Linked DNA regions of Astyanax mexicanus. The protein of the gene in region 1 purifies or fractionates together with the protein of each later gene. This does not show direct contact. Links are inferred from orthologs where the notes say so. Each region holds a gene or a part of one and is shown on either strand. Other genes may lie near its edges.

Region 1 (7,086 bases):
TATACCACAATTAGTTGCAACTCTGCAATGTGATTGCTGTGAGTGCTGTTATCAGCTTGTAATGCACTGTAACTGTAGTACTTCGCCCCATACAGGTAACCTAGCATATACAGGTAACGAGTTCAAACAGGTGCAGTTAATACAGGTAATGAGTGGAGAACAGGAGGGCTTCTTAAAGAAGAAGTAACATGTCTGTGAGAGCCAAAATTCTTACTGGTTGATAGATGATCAAATACTTATTTCCCACAATAAAATGGAAATTAATTATTTAAAAATCATACAATGTATTTTTCTGGATTTTTGTTTTAGATTCCATCACTCACAGTTGAAGAGTACCTATGATAAAAATTACAGTCTTCCACATGCTTTGCAAGTGGGAAAACCTGAAAAATCAGCAGTGTATCAAATACTTGTTCTCCCCACTGTATATGTGTGTGTGTGTGTGTGTGTGTGTTTCAGTTTTTAGCTGTCATTAATCAGGACATGTGATCCACTCCACAAATTCACACATCTCTAGGATACTATAAACGGTGCATGTAAAAGTGTGTAAAAAGTAATAATGTCTATAGTGTACATAACCTGTGTTAATGTGTGGTGTCTAAAATTATTTTTGCTGCCTCTACATGATTAAAAAATAAATGAAAAGAATATTTGTTCATTTCTTGTGTGTGAAGGGGGAGTTAATCCACATTTATTTTTGTGGAAAGTGGCAAAAGTGATCAATTGTAGCGGAATAAACGAGCCAAAGAGTCTAAAAGCGGCGAGAGTGTTCAGTTGTAGCGGAATAAACGAGCCAAAGAGTCTAAAAGCGGTAAGATTGTTCAGTTGTAGCGAGTTGAAATCAAGACAAAGAGTCTAAAAGCTGCGAGAATGATCAGTTGTAGCGGAAAAAACAAGACAAAGAGTCTAAAAGTGGCGAGATTGATCAGTTTTAGCAGAATAAACAAGACAAAGGGTCTAAAAGCTGTGAGAATGATCAGTTGTAGTGGAAGAAACGAGACAAAGAGTCTAAAAGCGGCGAGAATGATCAGTTATAGCGGAATAAACAAGACAAAGAGTCTAAAAGCGGCGAGAATGATCAGTTGTAGCGGAATAAACAAGACAAAGAGTCTAAAAGCTGCGAGAATGATCAGTTGTAGCGGAATAAACAAGACAAAGAGTCTAAAAGCTGCGAGAATGATCAGTTGTAGAGGAATAAACGAGCCAAAGAGTCTAAAAGCGGCGAGAATGATCAGTTGTAGCGGAATAAACAAGGCAAAGACTCTAAAAGTGGCAAGATTGATCAGTTTTAGCAGAATAAACAAGACAAAGGGTCTAAAAGCTGTGAGAACGATCAGTTGTAGTGGAATAAACAAGACAAAGAGTCTAAAAGCGCCGAGAATGATCAGTTGTAGCGGAATAAACAAGACAAAGAGTCTAAAAGCGGCGAGAATGATCAGTTGTAGCGGAATAAACAAGACAAAGAGTCTAAAAGTGGCGAGATTGATCAGTTTTAGCAGAATAAACAAAACAAAGGGTCTAAAAGCTGTGAGAATGATCAGTTGTAGCGGAAGAAACGAGACAAAGAGTCTAAAAGCGGCGAGAATGATCAGTTGTAGCAGAATAAACAAGACAAAGAGTCTAAAAGCGCCGAGAATGATCAGTTGTAGCGGAATAAACAAGACAAAGAGTCTAAAAGCGGCGAGAATGATCAGTTGTAGCGGAATAAACAAGACAAAGAGTCTAAAAGTGGCGAGATTGATCAGTTTTAGCAGAATAAACAAAACAAAGGGTCTAAAAGCTGTGAGAATGATCAGTTGTAGCGGAAGAAACGAGACAAAGAGTCTAAAAGCGGCGAGAATGATCAGTTGTAGCAGAATAAACAAGACAAAGAGTCTAAAAGCTGCGAGAATGATCATTTGTAGCGGAATAAACAAGACAAAGAGTCTAAAAGCTGCGAGAATGATCAGTTGTAGCGGAATAAACAAGACAAAGAGTCTAAAAGCTGCGAGAATGATCAGTTGTAGAGGAATAAACGAGCCAAAGAGTCTAAAAGCGGCGAGAATGATCAGTTGTAGCGGAATAAACAAGACAAAGAGTCTAAAAGCTGCGAGAATGATCAGTTGTAGCAGAATAAACAAGACAAAGAGTCTAAAAGCTGCGAGAATGATCAGTTGTAGCGGAATAAACAAGACAAAGAGTCTAAAAGCTGCGAGAATGATCAGTTGTAGCGGAATAAACAAGACAAAGAGTCTAAAAGTGGCGAGATTGATCAGTTTTAGCAGAATAAACAAGACAAAGGGTCTAAAAGCTGTGAGAATGATCAGTTGTAGCGGAAGAAACGAGACAAAGAGTCTAAAAGCGGCGAGAATGATCAGTTGTAGCAGAATAAACAAGACAAAGAGCCTAAAAGCTGCGAGAATGATCATTTGTAGCGGAATAAACAAGACAAAGAGTCTAAAAGCTGCGAGAATGATCAGTTGTAGCGGAATAAACAAGACAAAGAGTCTAAAAGCTGCGAGAATGATCAGTTGTAGCGGAATAAACAAGACAAAGAGTCTAAAAGCTGCGAGAATGATCAGTTGTAGAGGAATAAACGAGCCAAAGAGTCTAAAAGCGGAGTTCAGTTGTAGCACAGAAAACGGGCCAAAGAGATAAGAGGCAAAATAATACAGACTGCCGTTTTAATGTTTCTTAGATTTAGGGAAAAAATGATAACTCCAATGAAACGACACAGTAATGGACAGTAAATGCATAAAATTTCAGGCACATTGGGAAAATTGCTATTTTTTAATAGCAATTTTCAGAGGGAAGTGTTAATATTTAATTTGTCAGGAATCAGTTGCTGTAATAAAGGAGTATATAATAATAATAATAATAATAATAATAATAATAATAATAATAATAATAATAATAATAATAATAATAATAAGTATAATAAGTATAATAATATTAAGAGACATTATGAAACGAAACATCAGTTTGAAAAATATTTGTGTACACAACACAGTCAAATATAGATAAAGATAGTAAAATGGTGTGTAAATGAAAATAGTAATAAAAATATATATTTTTATAAGTGGTATATTTCATTATTTGAGTCTGTGGCCCGTGACTGCACATATATTTCTCCTTCTGGCACCCAACATGTGCTATAACGTGAAATTTTTCAAATTATTGTTGCTTTTATTTTATTGTAATTTTGTTGTTGTAATGCTTTGGCTATATTTTAGTCATTACAGTAAAAAAAACAATGAAGCTATTATTCACATAAAGAGTACTGATTATTATTATTATTATTATTATTATTATTGTTATCACATGTCTTGTTACTGTTAATTATTTAACGTAATTTGTTTTTTCTTAGTAATGTGTTTATATGTATTTATTTATTCTAAGATTAAGCTGTATATTTATTGGACTTGTTGTATTTATTGGGATTGTTTGGTTCATTTTATTTATTTTTAAATAGTAAGTGCAGTTCTGTCGCTGTTTGTCCTGCAGTAAAGCAGCTGTCAGTGTGTATTATTGTATTAGTGTAATAGTGTGTATAGCGGTTTACAGGCTGGGTGTTGGAATGCTGTGCGCGCTGTTTAGCGGGTTTACGGTAATGAGAGTAGCGGCTATAGAGGGGTTCGGGACGTGGCAGCAAAACACGCTTCACTCTCTCTGCGGATTTACAGCAAACACCCAACAAACGAGCTGAAAACATCCAGCAGAAGTTGAGGATTAGTGCAGGATTAGGTGGATCTGTCAGTGATCAGAGGGTAAGTGTGAGTATGGTGAATATTCTGGGGTTCTGGAGCTGCAGAGTTCTGATACAGGAGTTTGTGGGCTGTTCCGGGGGTTCGGATCACTGTTACAGTAACCTTACAGAACTTAAACTAGTACAGAACTAGTATATATCTGTTAGGTATAAAACTACCAGGTATAGAACGTTTATATAACTATTAGATACAGAACTATTAGGTATACAACTAGTATACAACTGTTATAGAACTGTTAGGTACAGAACCAGTGTATAAGTGTTACGTAAAGAACTAGTTAGTATAGAACTGTTATGTATATAATTAGTATATAGCTGTTAGGTATAGAACTAGTATATAACTTTTAGGTATATAACTAGCAAATAACTGTTACGCAAAGAACTAGTATATAACTATAAGGTAGAGACCTAGTATAGAACTGTTACGTGTAGAACTATTAGGTATAGAACTGGTATATAACTGTTAGGTATAGAAACAGTATATAACTGTTACGTAAGGAACTAGTATATAACTGCTATGTATATAATTAGTACATGACCGTTATGTATAGAACTAGTATATAACTGTTAGCTATAGAACTAGTACATAACTGTTAGGTATAGAACCAGTATATAAGTGTTACGCAAATAACTAGTATAGAACTATTAGGTACAGAACTAGTATATAACTGTTATGTATATAACTAGTATAGAACTATTAGGTATAGAACTATTAGGTATACAGCTACTATATAACTGTTAGGTACAGAACTAGTATAGAACTATTAGGTATATAACTATTAGATACAAATCTAGTAGTTGAAACTGATCCAGGGTCAGTGGGTAAACTGTGAGTAAAGTGTGTTAAAGTGTTGGGGTTAAATGGAAGCAGACTGTAGTGAAGTGTTGTGCAGATCTCTGTGTTGGGGCTGTGCCGAGATTTGGATGTTCTAGAAACATCCTGTAGAGAGTCACTGTGTGTGTAGAGTTACTCAGTGTGTAGACTGGCTGGAGGGTGTAGTACTTTTTGCAGATGGAACATTAAATAAACATTATTTTTGTTTGCATTACATCTTTTAACACTTTAAAATCTGTGTAAAATTCCTTACGGAACTCTCTACTTTACTTTAACTCATTAAGCTCCTAAAGCGATACATACTGACTACAGGACTCAGTGTGAATCTGTGTTTTCATTCATCTGATTTTATTTATTTGCAGAATGTAGGAGCACTTTAGGATTAGTGCTGGAGATAAAACTAAACTAGCTTCTTTTAAAAGTGTATTTTCAGCTTTTCTTTAGCTGCTCTGTTTTAACCATTTAACCCTTCAAACATTTAAAGTGTTATTGAAACATGTTTTAAATGTCAGGGCTCTTATGAGTTTTATGAGTATACTTTGAGTTTATTAATGGTGTAGAAATAGTGGTTTCTTTGCATGGGTATCTCTATGACCCTATCATTAGTATTTTAGGTCTTTTGGAAGTATCAGCTAAAAGTGTTGTATTTGGGAATGCTGGGGTGAAGGAGGTGGAGGCTATTTAATAAAAGTTAGATAAAAATCCAATTTTCGATTAGAATAGATTATTTTCCTCTCCTACTAATAATCAAACTACACATGGCAAAGAAATGATTAAAAACGATAAATGGTTTGTGACTGAAAATAGAGAATTAACGCACTAAGCGAGTCATAGTATAGAAGAAACTTTGAAGGAGAGATTTTTATTATTATTGTTTTTCACAGTTAATTACGGATCCTCACCAGAGAGCGATGCACTGCAGTTTTTATAAAGTGTTGTAGGTTTTATTTCTAGATAAATATATGCTTTAAAGTGCTGGAACTGTTTTCGGTAAAAGCTCAGTCCTCAGACTGAGTAAATATGTGCGGGTTAGTCTGTGGGAGGCATCAGTAACCAGGGTAAGACGGATAAAAACTTCAGCGTTTTCAGATATTTAGATTAAAAACATAAAATGTCTGTATGTAAAACTGTGATTATTCCATTTTGAAAATCGCATTAACACTGTAATTTTAAATCATCGAATTCAAATACTAATATATCAGTATATCGATATATCGCATTGTTTTTATTTTCGATACATTATCAATATCATTTTCAAAGTTTTTGGTTTTTTTATTGAAACATTTATTAAAGCGCTCTAAACTTTCTAAGATTTGCCCCCTCCATTTAGATTTACTAAAGTTACTGCTTCATTACTCCACATGATGGCGCTATAATCAAACTGAACTAAAAATTAATGATAAAACACGAAAAAATGACGAGGCTTTTAAAATATTATTATGAATTCTGGAAGTCTTTAACCAGAAGCTTTCAGAAGCTGAACAGTTCAGCAGGAAGTGATGAAGCTACAGTGCGTTTATCTGATTATCTGATAATCACTGAATCCAGACCAGCTGAGCTAAACTCTAAAAGACTGCACTGCTCAACATCACCAGCCTGAACCTGTTTTATCTCCCGTCATACTTTCCCCATAATCTAAAGAACAACGTCAAAGCACAATGTCAAAAGTCTGTACACAACTTAAATTCAGTGCTTTTTTCAATATTTTATGTTTATTATATATTATATATTTTTTTCTACAATGTTCTGCATTGTAGATTAATACTAAACTCATCTAAACTATAAAAACATATGAAATTATTTAGTAAACAAAAAAGTGTTGAACCAGAATGTTTGTTTGTTTAACTGCTGGATTTTCTCAGTCAGTTTAATGAGGTAGAGTCTCCTGGAATTCAGGTTTCAGTTAACAGCTGTGCTGAACTCATCAAGAGTTAATTACTTGAATTTCTTGTCTCTTAATAAAGTGTTTGACAGCATCAGTTAAAGTAAAGTAGTGAAGAGGTAGAGTTACAGGTATACAGTGAATAGTGAATATTTGAATAATGTTCTAATCCAGATTATGAGAAACAAAAAATACTCAGGTAAAAAAAATACTTAAAAGTTCAGTAAATCGGAAAAAAGGAGAATTTCAGAAACTTTGAAAGTATCCTCAAGTACAGTCAATGCAAAAACTGTAAAAAAATAAACATTATGATGATGAAACTGGCACTCATCAGGACCGCCCCAGGAAAGGAAGGGAAGAGCGAGAGTTTCCTCTGTTGTACAGGATGAGTTCATCAAAGTTTCCATCTTCAGAAACCAGTTAACAAACAGCTCCTCAGATAAAAGTATCTAAATACTTCTTTACAAAAGTGATTAATTTAGCTTGAAAATACAGTTAGCATCGCTAGTTAGCCGTTAGTCATCTCCCTTAACATTAGCAGTCTGTTAGCCTTGCTAGCATTGGGCCCACTGCTGCATTCTGGTGTTGTGAGGGTACAGTAATAACTAAAGACTTGAATAAACT
Region 2 (7,086 bases), on another chromosome or scaffold:
TCTCACAATCATGAGTCACATTCATCAGTCAACCTCATTAAACCACCTTCAGAAAACTTGCACAAAACTTCGATATGGTTTCATGGTTGATGCTGTAAATAGAGATATACTACAGAAAGCCCTACCCAACATCCCAACAACAACCACCTAAAAAAGAGACTTTAAAAAGGATCTTTAAAAAGAGGTGTAGACCCTTCAAACTCATTGATCCTTGAAGCAATTTTATACCATTTTCTGAAAATCCCCATTTAGTTCCTAAGAACTTGTAAAGAAAGATATTTTTATCATCTACAACCCAATGTACAGATCCTACACTACACAACCACAAATTACATGTCCGCCTTAATTTAAATGTGACCACATATATGTTGTTAGCTGAATTTTTCAGAAAGATGGTTCTTGGCATTACAGTAAAAACATGGTGGCAAACAAGGAATTTGTCATATATGCTTATAAAAAAGTAAGCCCATATTTTGTACTGCTGCTAACAATTTCATTACAGCTCTTTTCAGAGCAATGGTTCAAAAGAAAATCCAGAAAATCGGAATGGTATAAAATATTAGTCTAGTGTTTACCATACAAGGTCATTTTTATTTTTTAAAAGAGGGTGGTGGTGGTGGTTGAAGGGCTATTAATTTATTAAAGGCAATGAAGGTACTATACAACCATGACAACTTAAAGAACCAAAAATAAAAGAAATCTGACAGCACTCCCATTATATCCAAAAACATATTTATTCACAGATAGTCAAAGATAGATTAAATATTTTAGACACGCCAACCAATCTGGCAGTCTATATGTAGCAGAGTAGCAGAGGCAACTTACAGCCATAATTCATCACCTTCCACATCCTCCATTTAAAATATACAAATATTTATATAAATAATAATCAGAATAATAAAATATTAAACTTCAAGGTCTTATTAACTTATTTTCAAAGCAACTATAACCACACAGATAAGCATATGTTTATTTATTTTTTTTAATTAAAAACAATTCCACTTACCATCTGAAAAAAAAGAGGAAAAAAATATTAAATTAGAGAAATCAAAGTCAACCTGCAATCTTTTGATTGATAAATACATTAACTTATACTGTAAAAGCTTTTTGTTTCAGTGTCTCAGACAAAAAAAAGAAAAATGTTTTGACATGATTGTTTTTGTGATTTGGGGTCAATGGAAAATGAACTATTCCTTTTAATGTAATTTGAACTTGAAATACATAAGTAATGTAAAGTCTTAAAATCCTGAAATAATAAAAAAGGTGCAAAGGAAACAAGCTCATATTCATAAAGTTTTAAAAGTTTGGAAATCTGAAATATGGTGGAATAACCCTGGTTTTTTAATCACAGTTTTCATGCACATTGACATGTTCTCCTCCACCAATCTTACACACTGCTTTTTGATAAATTTATGCCACTCCTAGTACAAAAAATCAAGCAGTTCAGCATAATTTGATGGCTTGTAATCATCCATCTTCCTCTTGATTATATTTTCAGAGGTTTTCAGTTTGGTAAAATCAAAGAAACTCATTGTTTTTAAGTGTTTTTTTCTAGAGCTGTATGTGATTTTATTTCAAGTTGTTTTGGAACATTTATTTTGGTCTACTCATCATGGCACTTTGACACAATGTTAAAAAAACTGAAAGATTTAAAAAGTTTTTTAGATTTTTGACACTTTTTACCAATGCATAAATGAGCACTAAAGTATATATTTCTTGATTTTTAAAAATACACATTAAACACCTAACACTAAAAAAAATCACTGTTAGACAAAACTACAAACCACAATAGTGTTCTGCAGACTTATTCAGTCTTTTCACTTTTCACTGGTTTTGCTTTATGCTTTTTTTTTGTCATTTTCTGACGAATAATTTCAGTTGCCAAATATAGGGTTTAGTTGCTTATTACCATGTGAACCGCCGCTAACCTGATTTACTTTAATAAATTAACTGAACTGAGTAATGAAGTAGCCAGTTAATTTAAATGGTTTGATGAACCATGTGTTGTGTTGTATCTGTAGGCGTGTGAATTTTAATAGGAAATGGTTAAGATAACACTTAAACATAGATTAATACATTTCTGCTCAGATAAACAACTTATCTTATTATTTTCTCCCATATCTAAAGATTTCTTACACATCTCACACCTTCTCTAAACGTCTCTGAACGACTAGAGTAAACGTGAGCAGAACAGTAGCTCTCCTCTCCACACTGACCCTGAAGCACCTGAAGGCGATGAGGTGGCGTTTTCCCTCAGAGAAGCTCGCGCTGCTTTCATCTGCGTTGTTTTAAGCGAAAAAAAGCGTCTTGGATTCTTGGATGGGGTGAAGAATGAGGGGGAGAGAGGAGCGCTGTGATTGGCCAGCCGCGCAGATGCGACGTGTCTGCGGAAGAGAGAGAGAGATGGAGCGCTGCTGAAGCCAAGGAGCTCGCGCGCGTTTTATTTTATTTTTTAATAATAGCACTGCGCGTGCGCGTTTATTGCGTCGTGGCTGTAGTGATGGGTCAGCAGCATCTTCATTTATATACATCTATATTCACTATATATATATATTATATGTTTATAACTAACTTTAAAACTGATTTTAGTGATTTTTGGTATCATGTGATGATGCATGTCTACAATGTGGGAGCAGCAGCTCTGCTTTGGAGCCACGTAGACCGACTGACTGCCTAGTCACACAGTCAGTCCCCCAGACATGCAATTGATGAAATGAAGACTGTTTATGTGCAGAAAACTGGGAGTGAACTGGGAATAAAGAAGGTCTGGGCGTATGAGTGAAAAAGTGCTTCATTCTTGGTGGTATTAAAATAAAAAAAATGATTGCATTAAATGTAAAGACAAAATATTTATATTATAGAGTAAATGTTTATTAAGCCAAATCCATTATGCACTATATTAGACTAATATCTAGATGCCTGAGTTTTTTCCACATTAAAAATGTATACAATTTATTATTATAGATTTGGGATTTATCTTGGTCTGATAAATAGGCTGGATCCTGGAAATTAAGCCCATGAATAAATGTGTACTTCCAAATGAAGTCAATTTACAGACTCTATTTACCTTTTATGAAAAAGTCTTCACACTGTTAAAATCCAACATAGCAAATTATACCAAGTTGATTTGGGCTAAAAATGAATAAATAAACAAAAGTCTATAAACAATACATTTTACTTTATAGCAGAAAGAGTGCATTAAAAATAAGGGCAAAATAAATCATTTCCCTCTTTGAGAAACTGCTCCTTATTAATGTTGTGTATTCCAGGGTTAAACTTAAGTCACCTCTGAGAAACCCCACAATTGCAAATATATGAGATGTCATTGAACTGATTAAATTAAATCTCAAAATCTTTCAATATGGTGACATAAATGTATCACATGTATGCATTTATGAATAAACATCCACAGCTAATAGACAAAACCATACCATGCATATTCTGATACCAAGCAAGCAGAGCCCAGAAGAAGAATAAACGTGTCGAAATTCAACAACAACAATGCACTCCATCCCATCTTGGCTTCTGTTGAATAAGGTGAGAAGAAAGTAAGAAGGTAAGAAGGTTCAGGCCTGCCTGCCTCCTCTATCCAACTGAACCAAAGCTGGCTTTTTGGTTTGCTTAACCCCTTAGATTTTCTCTCTAAAAGATCAAGTTTCCCAGTTTCTTTAGATGCTAGGGTGAAGCAAGCAAAAAAAGAAAAAGAAAAAGACGAGTTCTGGAGACAGCCCCTCCGTCTGGTGAAGGAGGGTCCGTTTTTTTTCCTCCTCTCCTGTTAAACGGGAACATGCCTGAGCTCTGTGGAGCGCCCGGCACCTCCCCAAAAGTTTGGAGTATAAAAGCGTGGGGGAAAAGTGCGTTTAGGCAGTAGGGAGTTTCTGCTGGGGTCTGGACTGGAGTCAGAGAAGACCGGACCCTACTGTGTATGATTGGAGTCTAAAAAAGAACTTCCCTCGCCTCAAAGAGTCTACATGTCTAATATTTAGACATGTTCAGCTTTGTGGATATTCGGCTGGCGCTGTTGCTCGGTGCAACAGTGCTTTTGGCAAGGGGGCAAGGCGAGGACGACCGTGAGTATCTTCTCTATCTTCACATCCAGCTTCTTTTTCTTCTTGATTAGGACTTTGACTGGGTAGGATGGGCTGCCTTTGGGGGGAAAAGCAAAAAAAAAAAGGGCAGAGTGAGGGCAGTGAGGGGTTGCCAGGGATGCCAAGCTCTGGGGAAGCTTGTATCTATCTCTATGCTATGCTATTTTAAACATGAGGGGAGGAAGAACAGCAACTTCAGTGATTGAAAGTTGAAGGTGCAGGAGATTCACTAGGAGTATCACTATGTTGAGAGTCTGTCTTCAAGAGCTTGCTTGCTTGCATGCATGGAGGCAAGTTGGCACAGGCTTAGAGACTCGTCCACCCTCCCAACACCCCTCCTTTAGCTACTCTCCATGCTTAACATTAGTGATGCCCTGGAGCTATGCTTTAGTTCAACAGCTGCAAAATAATGTACAGAGGGGTAAAAAAACAGTAAAAAAGTAAAAGTGCTAAAGCACATATGGATTTATAGCTTATACAGTGTTGTTTAGCTGTGTATTGTTTGTAATAAAGTGTTTACATGTTTGATCTAAACCAGAAACTACCAAAAAAAATCTGATTTAGCTAAAAAAAAACCCGACTCGTTTGGAGTCTTTAGTTCTACTAGTCTAAAGTCGACATCCACCACGTAACTCGTTGGAACTTTTGAGGTTTAGGTTTTTCTCCCATGGAAAAAGTGATGAGCTCATCTTTGGACCATGACTATGTCATGCTAAACAAGGAGATCAGAACATTAAAAAAACTAAAGTGATGTTAAAAAGCTATTTATTTATCTTAGAATTTGGGGGGAACTACTTAACATTAGTTGTTTAACATGGTAGAAACTTTTTCTTGTCTTCAGATTCCTTCACACAAAAAGAGCTACCCGTCCAGACATCTGCAATTGTCCTTAACGCTTTGAGAAGCGCAATTGCAGTCCTGCAGCGCCTCCTAGCGATCAGGTTTGGGACTGGCCTGCTTTTTGGCAGCAGCCTCAGCAGAGCCCCCACCCCGCCTCTGGTGTTTTTATGATAATGTAAAACACATGTGGGCTTTGCAGACTTTCCACTAAGGGAAAACGCATGTTGCTGCCAAGCCGACGGGTTTCGATTATTTTATGACATACAGTGAACCCCGAAAGACGTGGACCTTTTCCCTCCTGAGCCTTTTCCCCTTGCTTTACAAAAGGGAAAGGCATTGTTAGATAGAGCGCCATCAAGAGTCACAATGATGACATTACATATAGCCGATCTGGCTAAAAGTCGCTGATGAATGAATTTGAATGGATTGGAGCATTGAGCTCAATAATAATAAAAAAAAAAACAGATGATGAGATTTGTGTGCAAGCGTAGGACGAAAATAAAATATACAGTTAGTGCCTTAAAAAAATTAAATTAAATAAAAAACAACAGAAGAATCAGCAGTTAAAGTGGACCCTGCGCTTTAGAAAATATACTTTTAGACCTTTTTTGCGGAAACATTTTTTCCTATCCGTATTTAGTCTTCACATTTTTACATTAAAATTATTTGAAAATTATTTTTTGTTTGTTTGTTTTGCGAAAAAATAATATAGGCTATAAATAGCTAGAATAATATTCTTGATTTCAGGCCTATCATCGCCAATAATTGCATTAAAAATAAAAACAATATGAGCAGTGATAGCAATGATTGTGAATTTGGTGCAATTAAAAAATATATCCATGTTATAGATAGTATTGATATATTATTAATTTATTTAATTATTATTTTAATGATTATAATGTACATTTGGGATTGTTTATGTAAGGCAGCTATGTATATATTCTTCTGCCTTACAAAACAATAATAAACGAAATAATAAAATAAATTAAAGAATGATCAAAATCATTTGTTTAAATGTGTTTGCGAACGCTTATTACAAAAAAAAATAATTAAGTAACACGCTTTAACGTGTTTTTCTTATTTTATTTGTGTCCTTAGGCACAGGCAGCAGCTGTACGTTGGACGGCCAGGTCTACAATGACCGGGACGTGTGGAAACCGGAGCCCTGCCAGATCTGCGTGTGCGACAGCGGCACGGTCATGTGCGACGAGGTGATCTGCGAGGACACCAGCGACTGCGCCAATCCGATCATCCCCCCAGATGAGTGCTGCCCTGTCTGCCCTGATGACGGTACGGAAGCCCGCTCTAAAGCCCCGCCCACCCGCCTGTATCGTGGGAAGTTAATTGGGAAAATTACAACAGCGGTTTTTCCAAGCGGATTTCAGATTTGTCTGGCCTTCGTTTTGTGGAGATCCCTTCCTTTTTCCCCTCTCTGGATTAATTAAATGCTGCCTCAGGTTCTTTGTAGAGCTTTTAGGGGTTCTTCAGTTTGAAACAGTGCTTCAAGGAACCTTCAGGAAACATTTATCCTCAAAGCACCTTAATATAAGGGGTTCCTCCAGAGATTCTAATTGAAGAACCCCTAAAAAGTCCCCCACTGAAAAGTACACTTTGGGTGTCCAGTCTTATCCACAAGGAACAGCTGGAATGGCTGGCTGCAGGCCTTTCATTCAGATCAAGCTGCAGCACGCCTGAGCACTCACTTGTTTGCACTGGTTGAATCAGTTGCTTTCAGTCAAACTACTGAACTTCTGATCAGGTGTGGTGTGCCTGCCCCTGGCTCTGCTAGAATGAATGAATGAAACCCTCCCTCCATCCTGCCTCGTGGATGAGACCTGACACCCCCTAGCCTCGACCCCTTGGCTTTTTACCACACTTAGTGATCCAGGGGACAGATACAGGTCAAAAGGTCATGTGACATGCAGCATGCTGTTATTTATGAGGCTTAGCATGGCTTTGTATATCATTTAGAATTACTTTCATGCTATTTTACACTTATTTATCATTTACTCATCAGTCCTTTTTGTATGATTTTAATTTTTCTTTTTTCACTTTTTCTTTTATTTTGTAGAATACCAAGAGCCCAGAGCTGAGGTAATTGTTTTTATTATTATTATTATTATTATTTTACCATCTTATTATGTTTATTCACTTGATT

What was found. Proteins that work in one complex are often made in the same cells at the same time.
Region 2: the proteins of p4ha2 (region 1) and col1a1a purify together in Homo sapiens (co-immunoprecipitation; 3 studies listed by BioGRID and IntAct, counting the BioPlex papers as one, with this or other methods). This does not show direct contact. The link is inferred for Astyanax mexicanus from reciprocal best matches to the Homo sapiens genes P4HA2 and COL1A1.

What each region holds. Positions count from the first base shown.
Region 1 is NC_064424.1:892,674-899,759, reverse strand, and holds the start of p4ha2 (prolyl 4-hydroxylase subunit alpha-2), read left to right. Parts: upstream 1-3,584; 5' UTR 3,585-3,746; intron 3,747-6,813; exon of another isoform or gene 6,814-6,907; intron 6,908-7,086. UniProt on the Homo sapiens protein: Catalyzes the post-translational formation of 4-hydroxyproline in -Xaa-Pro-Gly- sequences in collagens and other proteins.
Region 2 is NC_064426.1:32,892,857-32,899,942, forward strand, and holds the start of col1a1a (collagen, type I, alpha 1a), read left to right. Parts: upstream 1-3,856; 5' UTR 3,857-3,988; coding exon 3,989-4,070; intron 4,071-6,026; coding exon 6,027-6,218; intron 6,219-6,999; coding exon 7,000-7,022; intron 7,023-7,086. UniProt on the Homo sapiens protein: Type I collagen is a member of group I collagen (fibrillar forming collagen).